Linked DNA regions of Stegostoma tigrinum. The protein of the gene in region 1 interacts with the protein of each later gene in a pairwise test. Links are inferred from orthologs where the notes say so. Each region holds a gene or a part of one and is shown in the gene's direction. Other genes may lie near its edges. The genes, in order: nuclear distribution protein nudE-like 1, centromere protein F-like, cep170aa and girdin-like.

The links.
Region 2: the proteins of nuclear distribution protein nudE-like 1 (region 1) and centromere protein F-like interact in binary tests that used the Homo sapiens proteins (3 or more experiments, as listed by UniProt). The link is inferred for Stegostoma tigrinum from reciprocal best matches to the Homo sapiens genes NDEL1 and CENPF.
Region 3: the proteins of nuclear distribution protein nudE-like 1 (region 1) and cep170aa interact in a two-hybrid assay, tested with the Homo sapiens proteins (2 studies listed by BioGRID and IntAct). The link is inferred for Stegostoma tigrinum from reciprocal best matches to the Homo sapiens genes NDEL1 and CEP170.
Region 4: the proteins of nuclear distribution protein nudE-like 1 (region 1) and girdin-like interact in a two-hybrid assay, tested with the Homo sapiens proteins (2 studies listed by BioGRID and IntAct). The link is inferred for Stegostoma tigrinum from reciprocal best matches to the Homo sapiens genes NDEL1 and CCDC88A.

The regions. Positions count from the first base shown.
Region 1 is NC_081375.1:37,843,203-37,850,422, reverse strand, and holds the start of nuclear distribution protein nudE-like 1, read left to right. Parts: upstream 1-4,207; 5' UTR 4,208-4,355; intron 4,356-7,220. UniProt on the Homo sapiens protein: Required for organization of the cellular microtubule array and microtubule anchoring at the centrosome. May regulate microtubule organization at least in part by targeting the microtubule severing protein KATNA1 to the centrosome.
Region 2 is NC_081362.1:57,085,403-57,092,763, forward strand, and holds the start of centromere protein F-like, read left to right. Parts: upstream 1-4,346; 5' UTR 4,347-4,429; intron 4,430-4,432; exon of another isoform or gene 4,433-4,600; intron 4,601-7,361. UniProt on the Homo sapiens protein: Required for kinetochore function and chromosome segregation in mitosis. Required for kinetochore localization of dynein, LIS1, NDE1 and NDEL1.
Region 3 is NC_081362.1:83,728,931-83,736,858, reverse strand, and holds the start of cep170aa (centrosomal protein of 170 kDa), read left to right. Parts: upstream 1-4,906; 5' UTR 4,907-5,023; intron 5,024-5,320; exon of another isoform or gene 5,321-5,339; intron 5,340-7,928. Other genes in the region: sdccag8 (serologically defined colon cancer antigen 8 homolog), read right to left, coding at 4,232-4,295.
Region 4 is NC_081362.1:46,459,251-46,466,675, forward strand, and holds the start of girdin-like, read left to right. Parts: upstream 1-4,417; 5' UTR 4,418-4,991; coding exon 4,992-5,051; intron 5,052-5,179; coding exon 5,180-5,280; intron 5,281-7,425. UniProt on the Homo sapiens protein: Bifunctional modulator of guanine nucleotide-binding proteins (G proteins). Acts as a non-receptor guanine nucleotide exchange factor which binds to and activates guanine nucleotide-binding protein G(i) alpha subunits.

The DNA.
Region 1 (7,220 bases):
CACACTGACCCTCAGAGCATCCCACCCAGAACTATCCCCCTACTCTACACATCCCTGAACACTATGGGCGATTTAGCATGGCCAATCCACCTAGTCTGCGCATCTTTTGACTGTGGGAGGAAACCAGAGCCGGCACATGCACACTGGGGTAGAACATGTAAACTCCACACAGACAGTTGCCCAAGGGTGGAATTGAACCCCAGCTCTTGATGCTGTGAAGCAGCAGTGCTAACCACTGAGCCAACAGGCCACCTGGAAATGTGGGCTTGAACCTGAGACCTCTCGCATGTCAACAAAATACAATACTCTAAGCAAAAATCATAAACATAGACCAATGAGCCACCTCCAATGCAGTGGAATATTTCATAACTAAATTACTTATTATGTCCTGAAAAAAATTGAACCAAAGTTTGAAACTTTGATTAAACTGTATTCCTTTAATTAGCCTCTAATGAGTTTTGAAACAGTTGATTTTTCTGTTATTCCCCTAGAAGTAAACATTCTAAAAGAAATAGCTCCTAGGAGTTGAATTATCACATGCATATCTATAAGGAAATACTGGTCCCCCATGTTTGGTTTTGGTAATAGTCCTGCACGGTCTTCTAACATTCTATTGGTTCTTCAAAAACTTGCCTGGGTATTAAAGGTACTGATCTGATTACATATTGAAGTCTTATTGAAGTCTTCCTACAACCTAATTTTCATATGCTTTACAGAACGGTACTATGTCTTCACAACATCATGACCAAGTAAAGTAACTGTCGTCAAAGCTTGAGTTTTCCGTGTGCCTACATGCATTGCCATAGGAATTTTATGAGCTACTCGCAATATTTCCTTACTAAATCTGGGTGGTGTCACTATTTGATGTTCAACCATCCATCCTTGTCAGCAGGTCTGTGAGGATGTTTCCATTTACTCATCAGAACTACATTTTTAACAAAAGTAACTTTGAAACTCCTTTATCCTCAGCTTCAGAGTATGCTAATTGAGTTAAATTAGTTTAACTGTGCCTACCTCCAGATCTGCTATCTGAGCCTGACATACTAAACACTTTTTGAATTGCCTCTTTCTTTAAAGAATGTTTTGGCTACTCTAACATTTGCTTGTGACCAGACGAATCACCAGTTCGTCTGGTGATGAACTTTGTTCAACCATTGTTCTGGTCATCAAGTTCAATGGAAAAATACCTGGAGCTTCTACCTGTAACTGCTCTGTCAATTAGACTTTCTGTGATTATAGGCAAAACTATAACTTTCACTTAAGTCAAATAATTACCCAGTAAATGAACTCCATCCAGAGGTAATTTTAGAACAATTCCCATGACTACTGCACCGAGCAATAAGTTACATTCTAAGTGCACACTGAACAAAGGAATGCGCATGTACTTTCCACTGATCCTGTCTATTAAGATGAAAGGTCTAGGCCCGAAACGTCAGCTTTTGTGCTCCTGAGATGCTGCTTGGCCTGCTGTGTTCATCCAGCCTCACATTTTGTTGTCTTGGATTCTCCAGCATCTGCAGTTCCCATTATCTCTGTCTATTAAACATTTGGCTTTCTATGCATTCTTTGGGATGGAGCTATGTTCTTGTCTGGAAAAAAAGTGTTTGTACAGCTCCTGTGTCCTGTAATATAGTTACGACCTTAGATGTACTGTTTGAAGAAAACTAGGTGATCTTTCCTTTTAACAAAAAAATCCTTCTTAACTCTCACCTATCTTAATCACTTCTCCAGCACTCAAAGCATTCTCCTAGTTATAGTTAAAGCTATGCTTTGATTTAAGTGTTTTCCTTCTGAGTTCCTCTGTCAGACTCACTCTTATGAATCCTAATGTCCTGTGGACTTCCCATGCAACTTGCAGCATTCTGAGCAAAGGTGTTCCACTTTGTTACAATGGGAATACTTATGCCAACAACTCTCATTTCAGCACCTTCGGTTCCAGTTCGTGAAAGAATTCACGAGGGAATTCCCAGATGTCCCTTCTTTAGCCTAGTTACTTGCCTTCCTTTCATTGTCCCACTTTCTACCATTTGGGGTTTTATAAAGATGACAAAAAAAAGGTTTGGTTTCATTGATCAACTTGTAATTATCAGCCATTTCTGCCGTCTGTCTCATTGCTCCATGCATACTATAAAACAATAGTATTGGAAGCAACTAAAACCATTCTGCAGATAGATGGTGCAACCTTGACTGATTTAACAAGTCTTAACCTAAGGCAACAGCATTAGTTGTTGCAAACAAACTAAAAGTGGAATTTCCAGTAAAAGCTTAGGAGACATAATTAACATATTGATACTGCATTTAGCACAGGTAGAAATACAAGAAGTACTGGGTACATCAAGTGATGAGTCACTCGGTTTAGTGAGAATTCAATTGCAGCTGAGACAGCTTGTACATGAAAAAGGACTAAAACAAGTTGAAAGGAAAATGGGACTGTCAATATTTAAAAACTAGACCAACAAAGAGATGTTGAAATTTTCTTGAAAGCAGGTTCTAATGACTAAAGGTGGTAAGTTTTGAGCTCTTCTAAGAAAATAATTTCTCTGGGAGCTTCATGGATGGTATTCACTCCTAATGCTTGTATCCACTTGTCAAAATTATTTTACATTGCCTTTTCAAATCCAGTGTAAGTTTCCACAGGCTGTTTCCTTAAATTTTTAAACTTATGTCTGCAGCTTCAGGAACTAACACATATACACCCAGAATAACATTTTTTAACTACTTCATAATCAAAACTTCTGACAATGATGCATAAATCTCATGAGCTGTACCTGCCAACCTGCTCAGTATGGGCAGTGTCCAGTTTTACTTCAACCATGACATTTATTTTGCTACTATGTCACATGATATGAAGAATGACTCATCATTTTCTTCAAATCTCAGCAGGTCTGGCAGCATCTGTGAAGGAGAAAACAGAGTTAATGTTTTGGGTCCGTTGAACATTAACTCTGATTTTTTTCTTCACAGATGCTGCCAAACTTCCTCAGCTTTTCCAGCAACTTCTGATTTTTGCTCCTGATTTACAGCATCTGCAGTCTCTTGGTTTTTGTCTTCTACCCATTAACTCCATCTGGACTTCCTGCTGCCTCAGAATGGAAGCCAACATCATCAAAGACCCCTCCCAACCCAGTCATAACCTCTTCCAACCTCTTCTGTCAGGCAGAAGACTCAGAAGCTTAAACACACATACCAATAGATTCAAGAACAGCATCTTCCCTACTGTTATTAGACTTCTGAATGGACCTCTCAAATTTCAAATCTGACCTTGATCTTGTTTTTCGTGCACTGTCTTTGCAGCTGTAACCTTGTTTACCTCTCTCTGTTCAAACACCCTGTGATTCTTTGTATGTTATGATCTGCCTGTACTGCATGTGAAACACTGTACCTAGGTACTAAAAACAATAATAAATCAAACCAAATCAAATCAATTCAGACCTAGAAACAACTAGCAGGTGTTTTCCTGATCTTCTTGCCCTTTCTGTGCTGCAGATGGTCAATCATAAGGGGTAGGCATGTCAAATGAAAACAAAAGTTATGGGCAATTCCTTTGACTACTGGACAGAACACAACATAATTCTGAAATATGTCTTTATAAAACAATCTATAATCATTGTAAGAAATAATGGAGGCATTAAATATAGAAAGACTTACTTGTAGGACATAAAAAGAAATCAGCAGGAAGGAAGGGTGACTTTAGGAACTGTTAAGATGGATCAGTCCTATCGGATTGAATTACCAGTTTGTACCATGTACAGGAATGTAAAGGAAGTAGAAATTGATTCCAAGTTTATGGGTAAACAGCTTTTGAAAGAGGACTGTTCCAAAGTTGGTTATCATCTAAGTAGTGGCAATATGACTGAAAGGAAATCTAGATAATTATGAGAAATATTACAACTAGGAATTCAAACTTCACTTGATCGACTGCACAGATATTTACTAACACAGTGACACCTGGCAATATGGATGAAGGCTACAGTCCTGAACCCACATTCTTTTTTGGCACAGAAAGTAATTGTCTGGAACCATGCACGTCACAAAATGTGGTTACACAGTAACTGGAATGTTCAGTCAGATGCTGCAAAGAATGTTGTTCATTAGGTGGGAAAAACCTGCTTAACAACAAGTAACTGAGACTTGCTTTATAGGAGTAGGCGATGGCTCCAAATTTGAGAAAGTATGTTTTTTTTATGTTTGCATTCAAGTTCTTACTCAAGATTATAAAGATAAAAGAATTACCATTTGAGCAGGTAAAATGCCATTGGAACACCACTGAGGATAACAGACGAGAAATGTGATTGCGCCTGACCAATGGACAGGGATCAACAAGGACAACCTGGGACACTGACAAAGGGCCAAAGGTAAGTCTGGGCTAGGGGATGGTGAATGCAAGTTGTGAAAGGTAGTGTTTCTGCAGCTTCAGTGTGCTGCTGTATTCTATCCTCACTGCACATTAACATAGAATTTATTTGAGATGTTGTTTTCTGGGAGCAAATGCCAGCACACGTTTTCTGGGAATGAAAATGGAGTTTGCTGTAAAATGAGTACTAGCCAATTCAGTATCTGCCTATTTTGAACATTCCCTGCACCTTTAAGAATTTAAACAGAACAATGGGAGCTCAATCTTGTAATTTGTATTTTAAAGTGTTACTTTGACGCATGATATGCATGCAGTTCCCCACCCATTACATTGTAGCTTTTGAGGATGTCTTCAACATGTCTTATTTGCAAAATGACAACATAGTTTTTTGCAACAGTTCTTCCTTTGTCGAGCTTGAGAAGCTACAATATGTGGGCAGGTATAGAAGGAAAGTTACTTGTAATATGTTTATTGACAGTTTTTATTGATTATTAACCTGGCACCTTCATATTTCTGGTACCTCTCTGTGAGGAAAACATCAAAACACAATGCTCCATATTAATTCTTTTTCAACGCTTTGCTCACCTAAATAATATCTTGCGCTTTGGGTTTTTTCGTAATTCCACTTGACTTTGAAACTGGCAGCTGGCCTCACTTGGGTGCCCAACCAATTTAGCTGTTCAATTAAACTTCTCAGTTTCTCCATTTCAACTTTAAAGCCACTGTATCTTTCTGTGAGGCCCTACTTTGAAAAATGGCAATGCAGCTAACATTTTACAAATAAGATTACTGATGCAAAATGACATTTGATCCATTCTGCCTGATTTCCAATCCAACGTATTTAAAATCCCCAGATTCCTGAACTGCAATTTTGAATTCTGTTTTAAGACATTTATGATAATATTTTTGATAATTTATTGAAATAATTGAACCTTTACGATGATATTTCTCACTACTCTTCATCTCATAAAAAAGACTGTGCCGGGAAGTTGCTCGTCATGATGACAGTAAAACATGGCAGCATCTTTTGTTTTATTTGCTCGTAGAATGTGGCCATTGCTGGCTACTCTGCATTTTTTGCCCATCTCAAGTTGCCTTTGAGAAAGTGTTGGTCATCTGCCTTCTTGGATTGCTGCAGTCCACATGCTGTAAATAGACACATGATGCCATCAGGGAGGGAATTCCAGAATTTTGACACAGCAACACAGAAGGAGAGGCGATATATTTCTTAGTCAGGATGATGAGTGGCTTCAAGGAGAACTTGCAGATAGTGGTATTCCAATGCACCTGGTGTGGTCATGGGCTTGAAAGGTGCTGCCTAAGGATCTTTGGTCAATTTCAACAGTGCAACTTGTAGATAGTACACACTGCTGCTACAGAGCAAATTGTCTCTATTCGTGACAGTCATTGCCCGGCATTTGTGTGGTGCAAATGCTACTTGCCACTTGTCAGCACAAGCCTGGATATTGTCAGAACTTGTTGCATTTGAAGATGGACTGCTTCAGTATCTGAGGAGTTGCAAACAGTGCTGAACATTGTGCAATCATCAGCGAACATCCCTAGTTCTGAACTTTTGACAAAGGAAAGGTCATTGGTGGCACAGTGGCTCAGTGGTTAGCACTGATGCCTCACAGCACCAGGGATGCAGGTTTGATTCCAGCCTTGTGCAACCAGCTGTGTGGAGTTGGCACATTCTCCTGTGTCAGTGTGGGCTTCCTCCAGATGCTCTGGTTTCCTCTCACGGTTCAAAGATATGCAGGTTAGGTGGATTGGCCATGCTAAATTGTCCATATTGTCTAGGGTAGGAAATGCAGGGATGGGATAGGGAATGAGCCTGGGTGGGATGTTCTTTGGAGGATTGGTGTGGACTTGATGGGCTGAATGGCTTGCTTCCACACTTTAGGGATTCTATGCTTCCATGAGGCAGCTTAAGTTGTTTGAACCTAGGACACCACTCTGAGGAACTCTTGCAGAGATGTCCTGGAGTTGAGATGACTAGCAATCACAACCATCTTCTTGTGAGCTGGGCATGACTCGAATACACAAAGTTTGCTCTCAATACCCACAGATTCCAGTTTTGTTAGGGCTCCTAGGTCATCCACTTGATACTTTTGGCTGAAGATTGCTGTGAATGTTTTAACCTTATATCTTTTGTCCTTATGTGCTGGGCACTTTCATCATTGAAAATTGAGCTATTTTAGAGCCTCCTCCTCCATTCGTGACTAGATGTGGCAGGACTGCAGAGCTTAGAACTGATCTGTTGGTTGTGGGATTGCTTAGCTCTGTTTATCACTCGCTGCTTATGCAGTTTGGCATACATGTAATCCTGTATGGTGCCTTCATTAAGTTGACACCTCATTTTTAAGTATCACTGGTGTTGCTCCTGGCATGCCCTCCTGCACTCTCCATTGTACAGGATTGATCCCCTGGTTTGATGGTAATGGTTGAAAGGGGGTATGCCTGACCATGAAATTACAGATTGTGCTGGACTATAATTCTGCTGCTGTTGATGGCTCTCGGTAGTTCATGGATGCCCAGTCTTGGGTCGCTAGATCTGTTCAAAGTCTGTCCCATGTAGCACGGTGACAATGTGATTAACATGATATTCTCAACATGAAGGTAGGATAGTATCTTGTCTCCTCAAGGACTGTGCGGTGGTCACTCTGACTGATACTGCCATGGACAGAAGCATCTTCAGCTGGCAGATTAGTAAGGATGAGGTCAAGTATATTTTTCCTTCTTCTTGGTTCCCATACCACCTGCCACACACCCACTGTAGCAGCTGTGTACTTTAAGACTCAACCAGTTGTGCAGCTGCCAAGCCACTCTTGGTGGTGGGCATTGAAATCCCCCACCCAGAGTACTT
Region 2 (7,361 bases), on another chromosome or scaffold:
GTTTATTTGAAAAGTATTCCAGTAGAATTTAGGCCAGTTAGGGAGTAGTTAGTAGTCTGGGGTGGAATTGTTTGGTTTATTAGTAAGTCTGTTAATTTGTTCACTGTTAGTGTTAAATAAGTTGTTACTAATAAAGTGTATATCAGGGATTTTCTTTCATTTAACCATTCTTTCAATAAATTATAAAGGTGAGGCGAGAGACTTTGTGTGTTTCGGGTTTAATTATTAGAAGTGAACCTCTATGCCCCGCCACAACAGATTGGGGGTTGTGTTTCTATTTATCAGAGGAGTCTGGCTTTCCACTTCTCTGTAACATCAGATATACCTAAAAATGAGGTGGTAGCCTGGTGAAGCCACATCACATGCCAAACTGCAGAGGACCATGCAATAGACAGAGATAAGCAGTCCCAAAACCAACCGATCAGATCTAAGCCCTGCAGTTCTGCTACATCCTGGCATGAATGATCGTGAACAATGAAACAATGAAGAGGAATAGGAGGCTCCACAAACAGTCCAATCTCAATGATGATCTACCCTCCTGAGGTCCCCAGTCCTACAAGTGCCTGTCTTCAGACAATTTAATTCATCCCACAAGATATCAAAAAAGAGTTTAAAGGCAATGCAAAGGCTATAGGCTTCGATTATATTGGGACTGACAATTTGTATTCCAGAAGTAGCCCCACCCACAGCCAAGCTGTTCCCCTCCAGATACAACCACTTATTTATTTGGCAATGTGGAAAATTGTCCTGGTATGTTCTTTCTACAAAAAGCTGTATAAATGTAACCTAGTCAATTACAGCTATGTTACTAGAATAGAAATAAAATCGTGCGGATGCTGGAAACCTGAAACAATCAGAGAATACTGGAGAAACTCAGCAGATGTAGCATTATCTATGGCCAGGGAAACAGAGTTAATGTTTCAAGTCTGGTATGAATGTTTTTCAAAAGAAAAGTCTTTAGATGTTCTGAAGAAGTCATACCATATGGTATGGTAACTTTGTTTCACTTCTACTCAGATACTGCCAGAACAGCTAAGTTTCTCCATCATTCTGTGTCTGAGATGATTCTCGATCATCAGCAAAGCAATGTAAGTGGTCATTGATAGTGCAATCAAGTAGCAGCACTTTTTAAAGGAACAGCCTGCCAGTTGATGCTCAGTTTGGGTTTAACCAACAGCTGACATCATCACAGCCTTGATTTGATTTGATTTATAATTGTCACATGTACTGAAGTACGGTGAAAAGTACTGTTTTGAGTGCTAACCGGACAAACTGTATCTTACATAAGTACATAGGGTTGTAGAACAGAATGCAGAATGTAGCGTTACAGCTACAGAGAAGGTGGAGAGAAAGGTCAACTCTAATATATAACAGATCCATTCATAAATCTGATAAAAGTGGGGAAGCTGTTCTTGAATCTGTTGGTATGTGTTTTCAAACTTGTGAGTCTTCTGCCCCATGGGAGAGAGTATAACTGGGGTGGTATGCTGGTTGCTTTCCTGAGCAGGAAGTGTCAGTCAAAGGAAGGCTGTTTTTTGTGATTGACTGGATTGTGTTCACATCTTTGTAATTTCTAGTGGTCTCAGGCAGAGCAGTTGCCACACCAAGCTGTGATGCCTCGGATTGGATACTTTCTATGGTGCACCTATAAAAATTGAAGAGTCATTGTGGTTATACTGAGTTTCCTTACTCTTCTAGGAAGTACAGGCATTGATGTGCTTTCTTGTCTGTAGCATCGATGTGGATGGACCAGGATTGATGTCCAAACATTGACAAAAGAGCTGAACTCTAGGGTTGAGGTGAGAATGACTACCCTTATCATCAAGGCAGCATTTGACCGGGTATGACTTCAAGGAGCCCTTGCAAAACTGAAGTCAAAAGCAAATCAAATGAAAAAAAAATACATGCTGGAGTGAGTCAGACCTAGCACAAAGGAATATGGTTGTATTTATCGGAGGTCCATTATCTCAGTCCCAAAACAATATAAAGGTATTATTTTAGGCCCCAAGATTGTCCACTGCTTCATCAGCCACCTTACCCCCATCAAAAATTCAGTCAGATATTTGCTGATGGTTGCCCTATGTTCGATACCATACGTCAGATAGTGAAGCAGAACATTTTCAAATGCGACAAGACATGGACAACATCCAAGTACCATTTGCATCACAAAAGTCTGAGTCAATGAACATTTTGAATAGGATGGAATCTAAAAATCTCTGCATCTTGTAGCTTAGTCACCTAAGATCTTTTCAAAAGCATCTTTGAAACCTGTGATCTCTACCACTTAGAGCTACAACAACATCAAAAATGTGACAACAATGCTAACTGCAAATTCTCTTCTAAGCCACACATCATTCTGCAATGGAAGCATATCATAATTTCTTCATTGTTGTTGGGCCATCTTGCACTGTGGGTGTACCCACTCACATGCTTTGCAAAGGTTCAAGATGGAAGCACACTACAATTTACTCATAAGCAATACTGGCCTGGCCAGTGAAGCTTCTATCCCATAAATGAAAATAAAAAGGAAAGTAATGAAAAAAATTGTTTCTTTGGATTAGAACTGGCAGTCAGGAGATGTGTGTCCTTATTTGGGTGATTAGCTGGAGTGCATATTTTAGATGGTACCCATTGTACGACTGTGCATCAGTCGTGAAGGGAAAGGATGTTGAAGTGGTAGATGGGATGCTCGTAAAGTGGGCTAATTTGTCCTGAGTGATGTCAAGCTTCTTGAATGTTGTTGGAATTCATCTATCCAAGTAAGTGGAAAATATTCCATTACATCTCTGATTGGTGAATTGGATATGTAGGATGAGCAACGGCGGAGGTGAGTTGCTTGCCATCTAATTCCTAGCCTCTGACCTGCTCTTACAGCCACATTATTTATGTAGATAGCCCAGTTCAGTTTCTGGTGAATGCAAGCTGCGCGATCCAGAGATTTTTAGATTCCATCTTGTTCAAAACAGCTACTGACTCACACTTTTGTGATTAGAGAATGATACCAATTTAAACCTCTGTCACAAAATGAATAACCATACCCACGCCAGGCAGGTTTGCTGTATTCTGGGCAATAACAATCCCAGGCTATCTTACTAATGGTACACCTAGAAGGTAGGCCTGTCACTAATTGTTGGAATTCTTTGCAGTCAGTCTCCCACTCTCACCCAGCATTCCAAGGCTGTATTCATCTTAGTTGGTGTCGATAATCTGCGACATTTTAACTGGTTATATTTGAGCACCCTGGATCCTGGCAGTTGCCAATATCTATCTTTTGATAAATGACACACTGATGAACAACCAAAAATGTTATTCAAAGATTCTTGTTTTAAGAATTATTAAAGGTTAAGTGTTTTGAACACCCCACTGATTGAGAATAAGACGTCAGTTTGCCACAACAAAGTGATGGAATTGACAGGCATCTCCAACCAGCTGTAAAAAGCACATCCTTGTTCCTGCCCACCAGGTAATAAAATACAAATTAGTAAAATTGTTCCTAAAATTTGTCATGTAGCAACATAAATCCTATATCCTTGCCTGAAGTTCAACATTACATAATTGATGGAAGATTGGAACAATTCGAGTAGAGAATTCGGAGAGCAGAAAGCATTTTTTTTAAGACAGCAAGAAAGCTCAGCTTGGCCAAAAACTGTTCATCAATAACAAAAAAAAGTTTATTTCATCATTGTTACACACTGATCCAGATTCAATCATTTTGGCAAAATCGGGATGCTAATGTGTGATGCCAACACAAAGGCAGATGCATGGGGCAGAATTGAAAATTCCCAGATAAAAACAAAATGCTGGCTGCTGGAAATCTGAAAAAGAAACTGAAAATGGTGGAGAAACTCAGCAGATCTGAAGAACAGTTATATCGATATCCATAGATGTTGTCAGATAAGAACTGTTGAATTTCTCCAGCTCTTTCTGTTTTTATAAGAAATTGAAAAGGCCCATTCTCGTGTCATCATACCCACTTTTGATGAAAGCTGTAGCCTTTCTATTCCTTGAACTTAAGTATTTATGCTTCTCTTCCCGGCATCTTCAGTTGGAAATGACATCATAAGTTTGGAATGTACCTCGGCTGCAGGTAAAGCCCTTAGTTCTAGCTCAGGAATCCATTTCTCCGCCGGCACTGGGCTGACTGACCAATCAGGAGGCCGGGTCACGGGGACAAGTCCAACGGCTGCGGAGAGTCAGCCAATAGACAGAGGGTCTCGTGTTTAAATTTAAAACCAATCATACCTTGTAACCGTGGCTCGTCGCCGTCAGAGTTAGCCTATCAGAGGCGGGGCTAAGGGGGTGTTCCCGCTTTCTAACCAATAGGACAGCTCTATAGCCAGGCCGCTGCGCCGTTGGCTCGTGGAAGCTGTTGGTAAGCCCGCAGCAGTTTGAAATCGGGCTGTTGGTGCTGAAAGTGCTACTGGTTCTGGTGTGTGGTTTGATGTTTTCATTTCGGCGATGTCTTCGTGTTATTGTCGGTTTGCGAGCAAGGGGCGTGAAACGCTTGCTGCCTTTAGTTAACGCTTTTAGAGGTCGGTCGGAAAACTGGGAGCCGGGGATTTTCGCATCGCAACTGTCGTTTCGTGATCGCTCCATTTAAGTTAGTCCTTGCTATATGCCGAATCAGAGATCAGGCGGTGTATGCAAAGTCGTTTAAACAAAACAATACTGAGCACTTGGAAGTAGCGTTAAGTGTTCAGTTGCGAGGGTAGTAAGAGTGTAACCCCGTTCCAAGACAGCAAGATTAGTGAATGAACCAGTGTAGACTACAGGATGTAAAAGACACGTCCCAGTTTTAGATCCCTTTACTTAAGGGAGGATGTAAATGCGTCGGGCGGGGTTCCGAAGAAGGATTCCTGTGACTGGAATGGGAGGGTTATCTTATGAGGATAAGTTGGACAAACTGGGTTTATTTACCCTGGACTAAGGAGTGACTTGGCTGAAGTATGCATGATCCTAAATGGTCTTGACTAGGCGGACGTCGAAAGGATATTTCCTCTTGTCGTTCCCGTAAGAACGAGGGGTCACAGTTTTAAAATCGGGGTGATCCTTTCAAGAGAGCGATGAGGGTTCTTTCCCCCGCGGCGCCCCCCCCCCCCCCCCAATTTCCGGAGGGTTGTACGACTGTAACTCTGCCTTGGATAGGGTGGGATGTGGGTTATTGGATATTGTTAAGACCGCGTGGATATTCTTAGGTCGTGGGGGCCTCGAGCCTTATCGGGTTAAATGCGAACGTGGAATTTGTAAAACAGTAGATCGACATGATACGATAGACTGACTGAGCAAGCTGGAGAAACCAAATGATTTTTGCTCTTATTTAGTATGTCCCATTACTAAGCGAACCTATTGCAAGGCAGCTCCATTAGTAAGCGAGCCTAGGATTACTGGGCGAACCCAGTTGTAAGTCTTTGCAATGGGTACAATTTGAGATGTATGATAAAAGTATAAACCAATTAAAACGGCTGATACAAAAGAAAAATACTTAACAGTGGATCCAGTAAATCGTGAAATAAAATCTGAAATGCTGGAAGTATTCAACCTGTCAAACAATGTCTGCGGAGAAAGTGTTAACCTTTTAGGAGGAAAATAGAAATGCAAGATTTTTATACTAGTAATGGAGAAATTTGGTGTACCAGGAACATTAGGATTAGACTGCAATAGTCTGGGAGACTGGAGAGACTTACTAATAAAATTGATTGTGATAGAAATTTCAAAAGAGAATTCTGATAAGGAAGGAATCAGATGTGTGCGGGTGAAGCCTGAAAGGTTGCATAGTGCCTACCTAAATGCAAACTGAAAGGATAAAAAGAGAAATAAGCTAGCAAATTCTCTCAAGATAAACTTGCAGGTTAGTAGTCATAGTCAAGAAGGCAATTGCAATGTTGGCATTTATTTTAAGAAGACTTGAATATAAAAGCAGGGATGTACTACTGAGGCCTTATAAGGCTCTCGTCAGGCCACTTTAGGAGTATTGTGTGAAGTTTTGGGCCTCACATCTCAGGAAGTACGTACTGGCCCTGGAGTGGGTTCAGAGGAGGTTCCTGAGAATGGTCCCAGGATTGGGGACCTTAACGTGTGAGGAATGTTTGAGGACTCTGGGATGATACTGATTGGAGTTTAGAAGGATGAAGGGGGAATCTAATTGAAACTTTCAGAATACTGAATGGCCTGGACAAAATGGATGTTGGGAAGATGCTCCCATTGGAGAGAGTCTAGGACCTGCGGGCACAGCCTTAGAACAAAGGGAGGCTTTTAGAATGGAGATAAGGAGAAACTTCTTCAGCCAGAGCGTGGTGAATCTATGGAATTCTCTGCCACAGAAGGCTGTGGAGGTCAGGTCATTGAGTACATTTAAGACTGAGATAGATAAGCTCTTGATTATCAAGGGCTACAGGGAGAAAGCAGCAGAATGGGGTCAAGGAACTTATCTGCCATGATTGAATGGCAGAGCAGACTCTATTGGTTGAATGGCCTAGTTTTTGCTCCAAGTCTTACGGACTTATAAAAATAAAACAGAAGATTATCTCAGAGCAAGCTAGGGGCAGAAGTTGGCTCCTATGGTGCAGTGTTCGTGTCTTTCTGGATTTTTGAAGACCCAGCATCAAGTCTCAACTCCTAGATGTGTGTGTCACTGATTAGAAATACTTACGATGTAAGGTTGAGTACTCATTATTTAATACAGAAGAAGGGGGGGGGGGGAAAGTAACTGTAGATGGTGGTAATCCTGGAAACGAAATCAGAAATTGCTAGGAAAGTTGCAAGTCTGGCCACATCTGTGGACAGAAAGCAAGAGGTGATGTTTCAGGTCCAGTGACCCATCTTCAGAACTGATTGTAGCATTGAAAAGATTGGTACGAGAGGTTATATGCTACCAAAATGAAAAGTGTTCTTGCTTGAGCTTGTATTGCAATACTGCAGCAAGCCACGGACGTAAATGCCGGAGTAGAGAATTCAAATGATGTAAAGCCCAGTCTTTTATGAGCACTGAATGTAAGTATTCCACAAAGGTTCACCCAGCCTATAAAACAAAAATTACTGTTGCTCAAGATCTGAAACAAAAGCAACTTGCTGGTAGTCAGGTCTGGCAGCATCTGTGGTGAGAACGCACAATTAACTTTTGAGTTCAGTGACCCTTCTTCGAAACAGTCTATTTTTGCCTGTCCTTGTTGGAGAGGACACCAATGTTTTTGGTGCCTTGGATGATGTAAAAGGAGAATGCAAAAAATGCATAGGAAGTGAGGTAGTGTTGGGAATGAGTCAGTGTTGAGCTAGCAACAATTCCCGTAGAAAAGACGAGGCTTCTTTTCCTTGAAGCAGAGAAGACTGAGAAGAGATATGATGAAGTGAATAAAATTGAGTGG
Region 3 (7,928 bases), on another chromosome or scaffold:
CCACCAAGCACTCTCTCTCTTTCCTGTATTCTGTCTCATCATTGTTTGAGATCTAGTCTACAATGGTGGCGTCTTCAGCAAACATGTAGATGGAGATAAGAGTAAATTTGGTGACACATTCATGAGTGTACAGGGAGTACAGTAAGGGGCTGAGCACACAGTCTTGTTGGGCGCTGGTGTTGAGGATTGTCATGGAGGTGGCGCTGTTATCTATCCTCACTGATTACACACTGTGGGTCAGGAGTTCAGGATACTGTTGCAGAGGGTGGAGCAGAGACCAAGGTCTCAGGGTTGAGATTAATTTGGTTAGAATTATAGTGTTGAAGGAGAATTGTAGACAATAAGTAGAAGCCTGACATAGGTATCCTTGTTATCTAAATATTCCAAGGATGAATGCAGGGCCATGGAGATGCTGTGTACCATCTGTTGAGACTGTAGGTGAATCGCAATGGGTCAAGGCAGGCTGAGAGGCTGGAGCTGACATGAGCCATGACTAACCTCTTGAAGTGCTTTGTAATTATGGAGGTCAGAGCCACCACGTGGTAGTCATTTAGGCATGTTAAATGAGTCTTTTTTGGTGCTGGAATGATAGTGATCTTCTTGATACAAGTGGGGACTTCAGATTGTAGTAAGGAGAGATGAAAGATGTCAGTGAACACTCTAGGCAGCTGGACTGCACAGGATCTGAGTGCGTGGACTACTCCATCTGGGCCAGTCATTTTCTGTGGGTTCACTCTCCAAAAGGCCAATGTGAAATCTGCAGCATAACTGATGAAACAGGTGCAGCTGAGGCTGTTGGATTAGGTGACACCGTTTTGCTGAGGCTCTGTTTCAACTGAGCCTAAAATGTATTGAGCACATCAGGGAGAAATGTATTTTGTCCATTATTCTGTTATGTCACGTAGGCCTTACCAGAAACTACAGGTACCCATGTGGTTAGTTTTGCTCTCCAACATAGTCTAGTATTAGTTCTTGGCATCTCCAGTGGCCTTACAGAGGTCAAATCTGGATTTCCTGTGAAGATCAGGGCCGTCTGACTTGAACATTACATACTTGGTCTTTATTAGGCAATGGAGTTCCTGGTTCACCCATGGTTTCTGGTTGGGGAATATATGGATTAACTTCTTTGGCATACAGTCCTCTACACCCTTGCTAATGAAGTCCATGACAGTAGCAGCATACTCTCCTGGGGGCATGGCTGCTGAGTTCTTGAATATGGGCCAGGCCACCAATTCCAAGCAGTCCCACAGAAGCTCTTCCGTTGCATCGGACCAACACTGTGCTATTTTCTGTACTGGGTCCTTATGTTTCAACTTCTGCTTAAAAGCCAGGAGGTAGGACACAGTGTTGCGATCTGATTTTCCAAAGTGCAGACAGGGTATAGAGCAGTAAGCACTTTTGATGGCTGTGTCGCAATGGTCACGGATATTTGGCCCCCTGGTGGGGCAGAAAACAGGTTGATGGTATTTTGGTAGCACCTGCAATGTTGGCCTCATTAAAGTCACTGACTACGACTGAATTGGGCCTCGGGGTATTCCGTGGGTAACAAGGTGGGTAAATGGAGTTGAGGTGATTAGCAGAAAACATTGAGGAGTTGAACGGCTTACTACTGTTACTTTTTCACAGCACCAAATTTTAACAATAAAAAAATGCAATTCACCAAGGCTGGACAGCACTGAGCAGTCTAGCAATGCAGAACAGTGATAGAGGGCTAGTTGAAAAGGTACAGCCAGGAGGTGGCAGCTGAGTTAGTTCTCCACATGTGTATTTGGAGAAAAGATGGTGGGAGCAGGGCCAGGAGTTTTTGAAGATAGAAGGGCAGTAATAGAACTAAGGGCAGAGGAGATGCAATAACACCTGATGTGGTCCAGGTCTGCATTCACTGGATGTTAGAAGAATGACACTGGACTTGATTGAAACATAGGGGGCTTGACAGCATAGATGCTGTGAAGTTGTTGCTCCTTGTGGGAGAGCCTAGGACCAGAGGGCATAATCCCATGGTAAGGGAGTATCCATTTAAAACAAAGCCAAGGAGAAATTTCTTCTTTCAGATTTTTTTTTTAAAAAGCTAATTCACTGGTTTGCTATGATGAGGAGGTGCTGGTGTTGGACTGGATGGACAAAGTCAGAAGTCACATGACACCAGGTTATAGTCCAACATGTTTATTTGAAATTAAGTCTCTTCACCTGACAAAGGAACAATTCTTTGAAAACTTGGAGATTTCAAGTAAACCCGTTGGACTATAACCTAATATTCTGACTTCTGACTTTATTTGTACCATAGACAGCCGTAGCTTGTTACGTATGTTCAAGGCAAGAAATAGATCATAATTAGTAATTCATAATCAATACTTTTGGGGACAAGGCAAGCAAGTAGAACTGAAGACTATCAAATCAGCTACTTTTCCCACCAAATAATAAAGCATGATCGATGGATTGAAAGGCTAACCTTTGCGCCTACATCTTATGGTTTTAGTGGTCTAGGTTTGGATGAGAAAACCTGTTGTGTTATGCATGAAGGACCATAAAGCAGATGAACAATTTTTTTTGGTATACGTCTAATTTCCTTCTGAAAATTACAATTGAATCTTTTTATTCTGCCTTCATGTTTAACTATAAGTCATATGACATGGGACCAGAACTAGGCCATTCAGCTCATCAAGTCTGCTCTGCCATTCATGGTTGAGATGTAATCTGCTATAACCTGGAATGAACTGAGACGAGGAGGAATTTCTTCAGCCAAAGGGTGGCTAATCTGTGGAAGTTATTGCTGCAGCAGGTCAAGTTATACAGAGTATTTAAGACAAAGATAGATTGGTTCTTGATTGATGTGGAGATCAAAGGTTATGGGAGAAGACAGGAGAATGGTGTTGAGGAACATCTCAGTCATGACTGAATGGCAGATAAGAACTAGTGGGCTGAATGGCCGAATTCTGCTCCTCCATTTTATAGCTTATAATTAAACATGAAAGCAGAACAAATGCAGATTCAATTGTAACTTTCAGAAGAAAATTGGATGTATACCAAAAAAACTGTACAAGAACAGAATGAATTACACAAACATAGTAGACTGCATGATCCATGTCTGCACTGTATTTACCTTTCACCCTTAGGAAACAGGTATTAGTCCACATTGGGAGATGAACTAAGTTATGGAATACCAATGGTTTTACTCAGGTATCAGCATGAATACTGAGCTGCGGTTAAAGAAATTGTGGATATGTAAGCATTATAGTGAATGGGAAGCCAAGGGCGAGACAACTGGAATGGAGAAAATGTAGTTGTGAGCAACATAGGGTGCATGTTTCTTTTCCGCCCCAGGAGCAGATACGTAAATAATTGGAATTGAAAAAGCAAATAGAAGGAGTTGAGGCTGAGCAATGAGGGACAGGAGAGGCCATCAACAATGGCAAAATCAAAATGGGAGTTGTAAGTGAGAGTGGGATTGCATTCTGGACAGGACATTCCTGAGCTAGCAAAGTCGTGTGATGATCAGCTCGTTCCGGTATCACATTAATATAAACTGTTTTAAGTTCATACATTTTCAAAATGTATATCTTTATTTTCGTAACTCCATTACCACTGTAGATTCGCCCAATGGCTCAAATGAAATCAAGTCGACAAACGTTTCACTGCAAATGACAATCTGTTATCGTTGCATGGCGAATCTCAGGAGTACTGAACGTGATTCACAAATCAGTATAGAAAGATTTTCAGAAAAAAGGGTCCCAACCCGAAACGTCAGCTTTCCTGCTCCTCTGATGCTGCCTGGCCTGCTGTGTTCCTCCAACTCCACGCTTTTGTTATATCAGACTCCAGCAGCGGCAGTTCCTACAATCACGAGTCTTTGTTTTTTTTTAATATTCGTATTTTGTAGACAGAAAGGAGGGCAAAACAGTTGTTCCTCATAACTGCAGTGCTTTTAATTTAAGCACTCTTCAAAATCCACATGCCAGTATATTTCTCATCGGAGTCCATGGGGCGTTTGCCCCCCAAACAACATGTAATTTCAGCAGTTCCAGAAAATTCACCAAACTTTCATCTCTACACAGTTAACAATTTGATGCAATGTGAGTACACAGGAGCTGTTTTTTCGAAGGTACAACTTATCAACAAATACAGATGTTACAACAAGCCTTGGAGACCAACCTCGGCCTTGCTTATCCGTGCCTTTAACTGACAGCTGTCTCCTATAAACAAGCCTGCCCCTTCGATTCGGTCGTTCGCTTACCTCTTAAACCTTTCAGATACGTCTCTAAATCGTTCTCGATGTTCGACTCGCAGGAGGCCTTCATGTTGTCCGATCATACAGCGAAAGGTTAGAAGTACCTCTCGATTAAAAAAAACAACGTTGACAGCAAAACAGAAAGGTTGATAATTGGAAACGCTCCGCACGGCTTTGGTTAAACTCCAGCGCCGCTGAAAGGACGCTGCCCCTGAACCAATCAGCACCGAATTCAAATTAAACTTTGGGCTTCCTTTCACCATAGAGACATCAGGTTCAGCGAAGGAGGAGTCTCCGCAGCGAATGCTGGGGTTTGTATTTCTACTTGAGAGTCAATGCTGTCGGCAGGAACGGAGCATTGGACGGTCGACAGGATAGGTGCCGAAGGCCAAAGGAAATACAATTCCCAGAAACGCTTGCGGGAGAATCCGGGTACCTGCCTTTATTTCTTCCCGCCCTTCCTTTCATTCCAGAGATCTACACTTTCGATCCCACCCTGTGAAAGCCCCCGACAGCCGCGGTTGGCGCGGTGACGGCATGCTTGCGGTTGCGATTGGTCAAGAACTCCGTCAATCATGAGGGGGTGTTGGCTTCGCCGAGATGGAGCCTCAGGCTTTTGGACAGTGGCTATGGCATGTGGTGCTCTGCGCATGCTTCAAACAATCTCTTCCCCCCCCCACCCAGCGCCTACCCGTCTATTCTGCTCGAGCGGCCGCTATGTGGAATAACGTTATTGCTGAGCAACGGGCGGGTTGCTGATGTTTGTCTGAGCTTCGGCAGGGCAGTTGCCCTGCTAGGGTGAGTATGCTATACGGAAATGCTGAGGTGATAAAGGCTACCGGTTTATGCGCTCCCGCCTTGGAGGAGGGGAGGATCGATTTTAGTATTTTGAAGTTGAAATGGAATAACGGTTCAAGGGATTGTGTATAAAATGCTGCTGGGTGGGGGAGGGGCGTCTCGTAGAAGTGACCATCCCGCAATCGCCACCTGACAGGTCGCGGTCCGTGGACTTTTTCATGGGCTACTTCTTTCAAGCTATTATTTTGGATTGTCGACATTCCCACCGTTTTTCATTTGAAACGAGTGGCAGCTGAAAACGAGAAGGCGTTTGGAGGTTCAAATGGCTATCCATTTTCTTTTATTCATTTGGCTCCTCTTTCACCCTTTACTAATATCCCCTTTCCTCCTCCTCCCCTCCCAACTGTGCTCCTCGTTCCTTACTGTAAACTATTCATACTATCTTCCGAATTTAGTCTAAACGGCATGCCGAGATTTAATGTTCTTTTGCATTTCACTCCTCCCCTTAATTTAATGGATTTTAATCAAGATTTCTTTTAAGTGAAACGCTTTCTAATTAACATGTCAGTGGATCCGAATGAGTAGTACCCAACCGGTGAACGATCATGTCGATGCATTTTTTCATGTTTCTTTTTGTTACCTCGAACAAAGGAAGCTTTGGGGTACACCACGGAATTTCATCCGAAGGTCTGCATCTTTTTTTTTGTCGATCGTTCGAGATATTCAATACCCGTAGAAATTCCCTTGTTTTCGGTGAAGCCGACGCGTCTTAATGATTTAACCAATTCCGCTCTGATTGTTACACAAAATCCAGTAATGCAAAAGTAGCATAGCTGGATAGGGACTATTAGCAAATTTCTGGCACACTGCCAGTGTAGTGAGGGCATTGCAAATCTTGTGGAACAGACTAGCCATCACTTCTCGTTTTGAAACGTAATGATTAGATTGTATTACATTATTGGCCTTCCTGCATTAGAAGCCCAGTAAATTCATTTATAAAATTCTTCAGAAACGTTTCACAGGAAATGTTTCCTGTTCCTGTACATTCCCGCTAAGGGAATAGGGTCACATGAAACTGGCTGGAGTGTTTCCTTTTCGGCTTTCATTTCAGCAATGTGTTCCTTTCCTCTGTGCTTTATATCGACAGACTTTTCAAGTAGGTTGAGTCCCATTCGTTTCTGTAAGACGTGTATTTTAGTATTTTTGACAGTGAAACAATGCGTTATTTTGTGGCCCTTTCAAAGGACGGAGCAAGAAGGAAACCTTTATTTTACTAATCATAAAATGGAAGTTGCCGTGCTGGAACTTTTCAGTGTTGTTTTTTTTGTGATAAATCTTAACTTGGAACATTATTAGATTTCTTTCTGCAGCATAAGTAAGACAGACCATGGAAACTGAAAACTATATGGTCTCATCTGTATATGTATCAAAAAGCTGTACAGGACCACAAATAGCCTGAACTGTAATAGACTAATCAGTTGAGGACAATCAACTGAGTCTTAAGTAAAAATTTGTCCAGTTTGAATTTTGTGAATCTGGAAGTCTAGCAGAACTAGTAAATTCTAAATTAAAATACTTCATTCTGTTTTTATCTGTAACTTAAAGATGTTCCCAAATTAATCGTACCATTGATTGAAATGTGATTTTATCAGTTAGATACTTGCCTAGCCTCCTTTTGTAACCTATGGAATCCGCCTCCACCACTCTCTCCAAGTAGCACATTCCAAATTCTAATAACTGAATAAAGAAGTTTTTCCTTGCTTCAGTCCTAGCTCTCTTGCTGGCAATCTTGAAATTTTGACCCCTATTAACTGAACTTTTGCATTGTAGACTAAAGTTTATGATAATTATCAGAGATAATGGGAACTGCAGATGCTGGGGAATCCGAGATAACCGTGTGGAGCTGGATGAACACAGCCGGCCAAGCAGCTGCTTGGCCGGCTGTGTTCATTATTTGTGATAATTATCCTTCTTTCTAGCTCAATCTTTTTTTGCTTTTTGTACTTTTAATACTTTTAACAGATTCTTAGTTAAACTGAAAACTGTTTCTTCTATTCCCCTTTTTATAAGCATGATTTTCCAATATGTTTCAATTTTTAATTTGAAAATGAAAGAAAACAGGAAAGTGCTACACAGAATGGCTAGAATCAGTGGAAAGAATGAGAAACAAGACAATTTACTGTAACCTTTGCACCAGCAGTCCTTGGTTGACTGTCTTTCAGGAGTGACATTTAAACATTAGTGCATCTGCTTGTTCAGGTGGATATAAAAGATCCCATGACATCTTTTCAGAGAAGAGGAGTTATCCCTGATGCTTTCCAGCCAGTGTTTATCTGTTCGTAACCAAAACAACTTCTTCAGCCATTATCATGTTTGTGGGAGCTTGTATGTGAATTGGTTGATGGGTTTTCAACCTTTACAATATGACTGTACTTCAGAAATACTTGATTGACTCCGATAGTGGTATTATTGATTAAACTGTTAATCCAGAGGTCCAGATAATGTTCTGGGGACCTGGGTTCGAATCCAGCCATGGTGGAATTTGAATTCAATAAAAAGAATTATCTGGAATTAAGAGTCTAATGATGACCATGCATCCATTGTTGATTGTTGGAAAAACCCATTTGGTTCACTAACGTCCTACAGGGAAGGAAAATGCCATCCTTACCTAGTCTGGCCTGCATATGACTTCAGACCCATGGCAATGTGGTTCACTGTTAAACTGCCCTCTGGGAATTAGGGGTGCTGCCTAACCAGCAGCGCCCTTGTCCCATGAATGAATAAAGGGGAAAAAAATTGCAAGATGTTTTTTGACTGGGTTCGAGTTGTTTAGGTTTAAGAGGGACGGAAGTTTGGATAAACTGAAACTTACAAAGAGCACAGGATTGGACATCCATAGGGAGAG
Region 4 (7,425 bases), on another chromosome or scaffold:
CATCTTCTATCCGCCTCCGGCTCTGTCCCTATTTATTTCAGAACATCCTTCCCCTCCCCAATTTCTGAAGAAGGGTCTCGGCCCGAACCATCACCCTTCCTGCTTCTCTGATGCTGCTTGGCCTGATGTGTGCATCCAGCTCTTCACCTTGGCATCTATGTTAGACTGGTTAGCAAAGATAGATCACACAGAATCCAGGAATAACTAGCCATTTGGATACAAAATCGACTTGAAGGTCAGAAAAAGAGTGTGGTAGTATATGATGGTTTTTCGGACTATATGCCTGTGACCAGTGGTGTGCTGCAACGATTGGTGCTGGATTCACTAATTTTGTTATTTATAAAAATGATTTGTATGTGAATATAGGAGGAATAGTTAGTAAATTTGCAGATGAAACCAAAATTGGTAGTATAGTGGACAATGAAGAAGGTTATCTCAGAGTACAGCGGAATCTTGATCAGATGGGCTGATGGGCTGAGGGCCGGCAGCTGGTGTTTAATTGTGATAAATGTGAAGTGATGCATTTTACCTTAGATAATCAGGAAGGATTTATACACTGAATGTTAGGATTCAGCTGAGTAGTGCCAAACAAAGAGAACTTGGGGTGCAGGTTCATTGTTCTTTGAAGGTTAAATAACAGGTAGACAGGGTAGTGAAGAAGGTATTTGGTACACTTGCCTTTATTGGTCAGTGCATTGAATATAGGAGTTAGGGAGGTCATGTTGCTGCTGTACAGGACATTGGTTAGGTGACTTTTGGAATACTGAGTGCAATTCTGGTCTCCCTACTACAAGAAAAACAATGTTAAACTTGAAAGGGTGTAGAGAAGATTTACAAGGATTTTGCTGGGTGTGGAAGGTTTGCACTGTAGGGAGAGGCTGAATAGGCTGGGGCTATTCTCCCTGAAACATTGGACGCTGAGGCAATAACCTTATACAGGTATATGAAATCATGAGGGGCATGGTTAGGGTGAACAGCCAAGGACTTTTTCCCAAGTAGGGAAGTCCAAAATTAGAGGGCATAGGCTTAAGTGAGAGGGGAAAGATAAAAAAAGGGACCTGAGGGGCAACCTTTTCTCAAAGAGGGTGGTACATGTGTGGAATGAGCTGCCAAAGGAAGTGGTGTAGGCTAGTACAATTATACCATTTAAAAGGCATTTGGATAGGTACATGGCTAGGAAGGGTTTGGAGGGATATGGGCCCAATGCTGGCAAACAGGACTAGATTGTTTAGGATATCTGGTCAGTATGGACAAGTTGGACCAAAGGGTCTGTTTCTGTGCTATTCAACTCTATGACTCTATAACAATACTATTCCTACTCTTGCCTGATCCTCTTAGTTGTTACAATACTTGCCAGAATCTCTTGTAACTTTAATCTAGTTTGCGAAGTGTTGTTCTCTTTCAGTGTCACTCCCAATGGTCAGTTGATTTTTGCCTTTGCTTGCCGGTCACTTCCTCTTCATCTCCAGATGGTCTAAAATTGATTTGAAAGTAAGACCTGTTTTTAAACATTATTGGGCAGTTTTCTGGAACTTTCTATAGCTCTGATCAATCAAGGAGACTTACTTAATGGTTTGAAACATTGTCAATCATTTGGGTGGCTTGCTTATATTTGTTTCTTTGTGTAGCAGGTGTCTTTTTATCTGAAAATATGCATTGCTGCTTTCCATAGAATCCCTGCAATGTGGAAACAGGTCCTTTGCCCCATCAAGTCTATACTGACCCTCAGAGCATCCCACCCAGGCCCATTCACCAAACCCACCTAATTTACACATCCCTGAACACTATGGACAATCAACCTAGCCGGCACATCTTTGGACTGTGGGAGGAAACTGGAGCACCCGGAGGAAAGCCATGCAGACAAGGGGAGAATGTGCAAAGTCCACACAGGCATTTGCCCGAGGGGGAATTGAACCCGTGCTCCTGGCACTGTGAGGCTGCAGTGCTAACCACTGATTCACCATGCCACTTTGTTTAGTTGATATTTTGGGAGGATTTTACTGCATAGGATAACTGATGATGATGTGTGTCAATGAATATGGAGCTGGAAAAGCACAGTAGGTCAGACAACATCTGAGGAACATGAAAGCTAGAGTTTCAGGTTGAAATCCTTTGTTAATACGGCTGGGAAGGATGGGGGGAGCCCGGAAATATATGGGGGTGCGGTGTGTGACTGTGGGAAGGTTAGGTAGATGGAGATAGCTGGATGCTTCAGAATGTGGATGAAGAACTTTAAAGGTGTATCTTAAAAGGCGTAGAATGGTTTGTCTCCAGTCACATGATATACTGTTATTTATTGTATTATAATTCCACTCCCATACTTGTTTCTGCTAATGATGTGCTGCGTTACAACAGATCTGCGCTTATATCTGCACATATTTATGAAAGGTGGAATGGCACCTCGTGTAATAGAACTGGTTAATAAACTTGATTACAAAAGATTTGTCCAATGGTTTTGTTTAGTATCAGGGCAGAGGAGACAACCAGAGTGTTGCAGTGGGAGATGGACTCACTGAGCTCTCTTCGGAGGGAGGAGGAAATCTTCTTCAAGGTGGGCATCAGGAAAGTCAATGTTTCAGGTCAAAATAATGCCATTAGTACCTGGCTGCTGTGTTTGCATTGTGTCTGGTTTCTGGGTTTGCAATTTGTAGAGCCTTACTTTGCCACCATTCCCTATACCCAGTATCCCTTTCGGCAAGTTGGCAATTCACTTGTGCTTTAGCAGCCATGAGGGTGATGGGAGAAGATGTTCCAATCTTTCCCTTCAGCCAACCTTGTCACCTGGCAGTGCATTGAGACTACAATAAATGTATATGCCGTGTAAATCAAGAGGTGTTAACAGTACTGTAGACTACAGACATTGAATACCTTTCCCACCCAAATACAGTTTCTTGGAATTTGCTATGTACAAGTTGGCAGCTGCACAAAAGTGATTCCAATGTGAAGTCATTTATTGCCTATGAAGCATTCTGAGATGATTTGTGTGAAAGGCACTGCATGAATGTAAATTTTTCTTCCTTAAAGCACATGTATTGTGTATGGATGTGGGAAAGAGATGATGACCTAGAGCTTAAAAGGATAGTGGAAGCAGAGATGATCAATGATTTGGAAAGGAAATTAGATTGACACTGGAGTCTGAAGGGCTGTGGAGATAGCATGGGGAAGTAGACCTTGTATTATTCTATAGGACATGATTGTCTAAATGCTCCTTCGGTACTGTAATTTCTCTGTAGCTTTGGTACGCTTGATTGTGGCAAATAGTATTGATACATTTAAAGGCCAAATTAATGCAAGAGGGAAAAGGGACTGAAATATATGTTGACAGGGTGGGATGATTGAAGTGAGGAGGAGGTTTGCTTGAGACATGAACATTTCCGTAAAGTAAATGAGTTGAATGGCCCGTTTCTGAGCAGTAAATTTCATGTGAATTCTTTGTTATGCAAAATACGTTTTAATAATGCAAATAATTATTTTTAAAACCTTTACGAAGCATGAAAATATTTACTTGCTCTCGAAAAATTTCTGAGATAGTCGGTTGCAAATAATTATAAATTGGTTCAATATCTTTAAAGGTGTAGAATGGTTCGTCTCCAATCACATGATATACTGTTATTTATTGTATTATAATTCCACACCGGTACGTGTTTCTGCTAATGATGTGCTGCGTTACAACAGATCTGCGCTTATATCTGCACATATTTATGAAAGGTGGAATGGCGCCTAGAGTAATAGGTTAATAAACTTGATTACAAAAGCTTTGTCCAACGGTTTTGTTTAGTATTTCCGCTTTAAAGGAAAGAAGACTTGCCCTTCTCCCTATTTTTATGTCTTCCTTCGTCTTCACAAATCTGGGTGCTTAAGTTAATTCAACTAAACTGATTATAATTGATAAAATATTTGAAAGTCTATTAATATGAATATCATAATAATTATCGCGTGGAAAGTTTCCGTGGTAATGTTACGTTTTCCGCACCGTTAGGCGTCACTATTGATCCTTCTTTGTTTATGGAGCACGCATTATATTCGATCTGTATAACTTTTAAATGCAGCCTTTTCTCGAAAAATATCATTCACATGACTATAAATCCGAGTAAACCTCAGTTGCATAACATACAAATTCTGAAAATCGCAAGCATATGACCGAATTAAATCGATGGAGCACAAAGTAAAACATTTTTATCACTAATAAGTATTCGAACATTCTTCTATATATCAATGGGTACAATACAAATGATCTTTTATATTAATGGCGAACATCACTCAATCTTTCCCTAATCTACAAAACGCTCACGAATGGAGAACTTATTTTTTTCCATCTAAGCCTCCTGCAGAACAAGACGGCGGAACGATACATTTTGGGCGGGGCGTGGCGGTTTTATATCTCGATTTAACGATAGTTGTATGGGTGAAGAGATCTTTGTGTTGGGTGGTGATGCGGTTTCGTTGACTGATGTTCCATAGCCGTTAGTCGGCTCGTGCTAAAACTCAGTATATTGAGGAAACGTGTGTGGTGATATTTGAAATGCCGTTGGAAATGTTGGCGTTTATGTCTGAAACCTCAGACTGCAATCTTCCCTCTAACTTTAATCTTTTCCTTTAAAACAAAAGGTAGACGATTATTCGGCGTCGATGGGAAATGAGTGTTCATTTTTTTTCTAATATTGAGTTTTGTGTTAATTTGTCAAGAGGAAAGATGATTGTGGTCTGAGAGCTTTCCATAGGAATTCGAGTCTGCTGCGGGAAGAAGGCGGTTTTCCGAAAGTGATGTAGGCGCTGTAATTAAAATCAAAATTTTGTGCTGAAAATGAACTTGGTGACGTATTGGTCGCTTTGCAAATGATCAAGATCTAAGCACCTCGATTTACTATGGATACTTCGAGATTGGATTTCACTTCCATTTAGGATGCTGAAAGTGGGAATACGGCTCCTGGCAACAACGGTGGATTTTACAGTTTAAGATAAACCTTTGATTTTTTTTGGTTTTTTTGAAAATGGAGACCGATTTTACAACGCTCCTTGAGCAGTTTATGTCTGATCCTTTGGTAACTTGGGTAAGCACTTTTGGACTTTCTTTCAGATCTCTTAAATCAGTAATTGCAATCGAAAGTGGCAGTTACAAATAGTAAATACGTTTACACTGAGTATTTTTTTAAAAAAATGTTAATCTCCACCCCTTTAGGTGAAGACTTTCGGGGCGTTAGCTCCAGCAAATGGAGGAGCACTTTTGGAATACATGGAGTTGGTTGATGGCATCTTCCTCAGTAACATCATGGTTCAAATGTAAGTATGCTTATTGTAAGAGTAGACCTACAGACTCGTCTTGTGGGGAAAAATTAAACGTCTTTGCATTTATTTTGTATTTTAAAATGCATGTGAGATTTTGAAAGATTTACACATCCAATTGCCCTGAATCCTCTCGATGAGACCGATATTCCGTCGAGAATTGGTGAATTACCTTTCAGTGGAAAGATATTCCCTACGGGCCAAGATCTAGTTCTGCCTCTTTTTTTTGTACTGTTTCCATGCCTCCCATTCGTATTCTCTCTGATTTCGAATAGTATGTATACAGGTAACAAAATCGGATCAAGCTGCCGGAGCATTTTATCGAACTCACAATTAGGATTAATAATAACGCTAAGATTCTGGGATTTTCTTTAATGGAAACTAACCGTTTCTCCAGCCTACGGCTTATTTATTTGCAATATACTATAATTATAAACATGTTCTGGTCTCCTGAATCCACTTGTAGTGTGACTGATGTTATTTGCAGTATGCAGTTGGACTTCGGAATTTTTAAGCTTTTTCACGTTCAAAGTTTTTTCAGTCGACTGTGATGCACTAATTTGGCGCATTTCATCAGAAAATACGGGTAGATTGCTTAACCCCATTTAAAAATTCCCATTTATTTTATGTGCCTACTTAACTGTATAGGTTAAACTCCTGCTGTATTATTGGGGGATGTGATGACCTAGTGATATTTATAGCTAGGTTATTAATCTAGAGACCCAAGTAATATCTTGGTCCTGGGTTCGAACTTCACAATGGCACATATTGGAATTTGAATTCAGTACGTGGAGATAAGAGTTTAATGATAGCCATGAATTCGTTGTCGACTGTCAGCACTAACGTTCTTACCATTCTTAGCTGAGAGATAATAGGAACTGCAGATGCTGGAGAATCTGAGATGTGTAGAACTGGATGATCACAGCAGGCCAAGCAGCATCTTAGGAGCAGAAAAGCTGACGTTTCAAGAAGGGTCTAGGCCCAAAACATCAGCTTTTCTGCTGCTTGGCCTGCTGTGTTCATCCAGCTCTACACTTTATTATCTACCACTCTTAGCTGGTCTGGTCAACATGTGACTCCAGACCCATGGCAATGTGGGTTGGCTCTTGACTGCCCTGTGGGTGAATTAGTGATGGGCAATAAAATGCTGGTCCAGCCAGTGATGTCCACAACCTGTGACTGAATATATTAAAAAAAATCATATGGAGATTGCAAGTGACATTAAATCATTTTTTAAAAAAAACCATCGAAGTTGCTAAGAATGTACAATTTCTTAAGGCAGTTGAAACAGGCTCTGAATTATTTTTAAAATGAATTAGAATTGATCTAAATATAGTAATTTATTCTATTGAATAATTTAGCAGGACCTTGGGCAATGTTTTCACACTGAGAGTGGTTTGTATGTGGAATGAACTGCCAGAGGAAGTGGTAGCTGCAGGTACACTTGCAACATTTTACAAGACTTTTGGATAGGCACATGATTAGGAAAAGTTGAGAGATTTGCCAAACATACGCAAGTGGGACTAGGGTGGCATGGTGGCTCAGTGGTTTGCACCACTGCTTCACAGCACCAGGGACCCGGGTTTGATTCCACCGTGGAGCAACTGTCTGTGTAGAGTTTACACATTCTTCCCATGTCTGTGTGGGTTTCCTCTGGTTTCCTTCCACAGTCCAGAGATGTGCAGTTTAGGTGGGTTTGATGGGGAAATACACGGGTAGGAGAATGAGTCAGGATGGGATGCTGTTCGGAGAGGCAGCGTGGACTTGTTGGGCTGAATGGCCTGTTTCCACACTGTAGGGATTCTATGATTCTAGTTCAGTTTGGGAGATTTGCTTGGCATGCACCAAAGGTTGACCAAAAGATCTGTTTTCACGCTTTGTCGCTCTGACAGAGAATAGTTAAAACATGGGACTTGTTAACACTTGGTTGCAATGTATGGAATAGATGCATTTAAAGGAGGTTGCAGAGGTACACAAAAAAGGATTGGACAATATGCCGATAATTCTAAACAGTGTGAATATCAATCCGGAATGGAGATTAAATGAGTAACTTAGAACTACACTTGATATGTCAAAACATGTACCTGTATTCTGTAGCATAATTTTGTAAAGTATTGATAGTTTGAAAGAATGACTAACTGA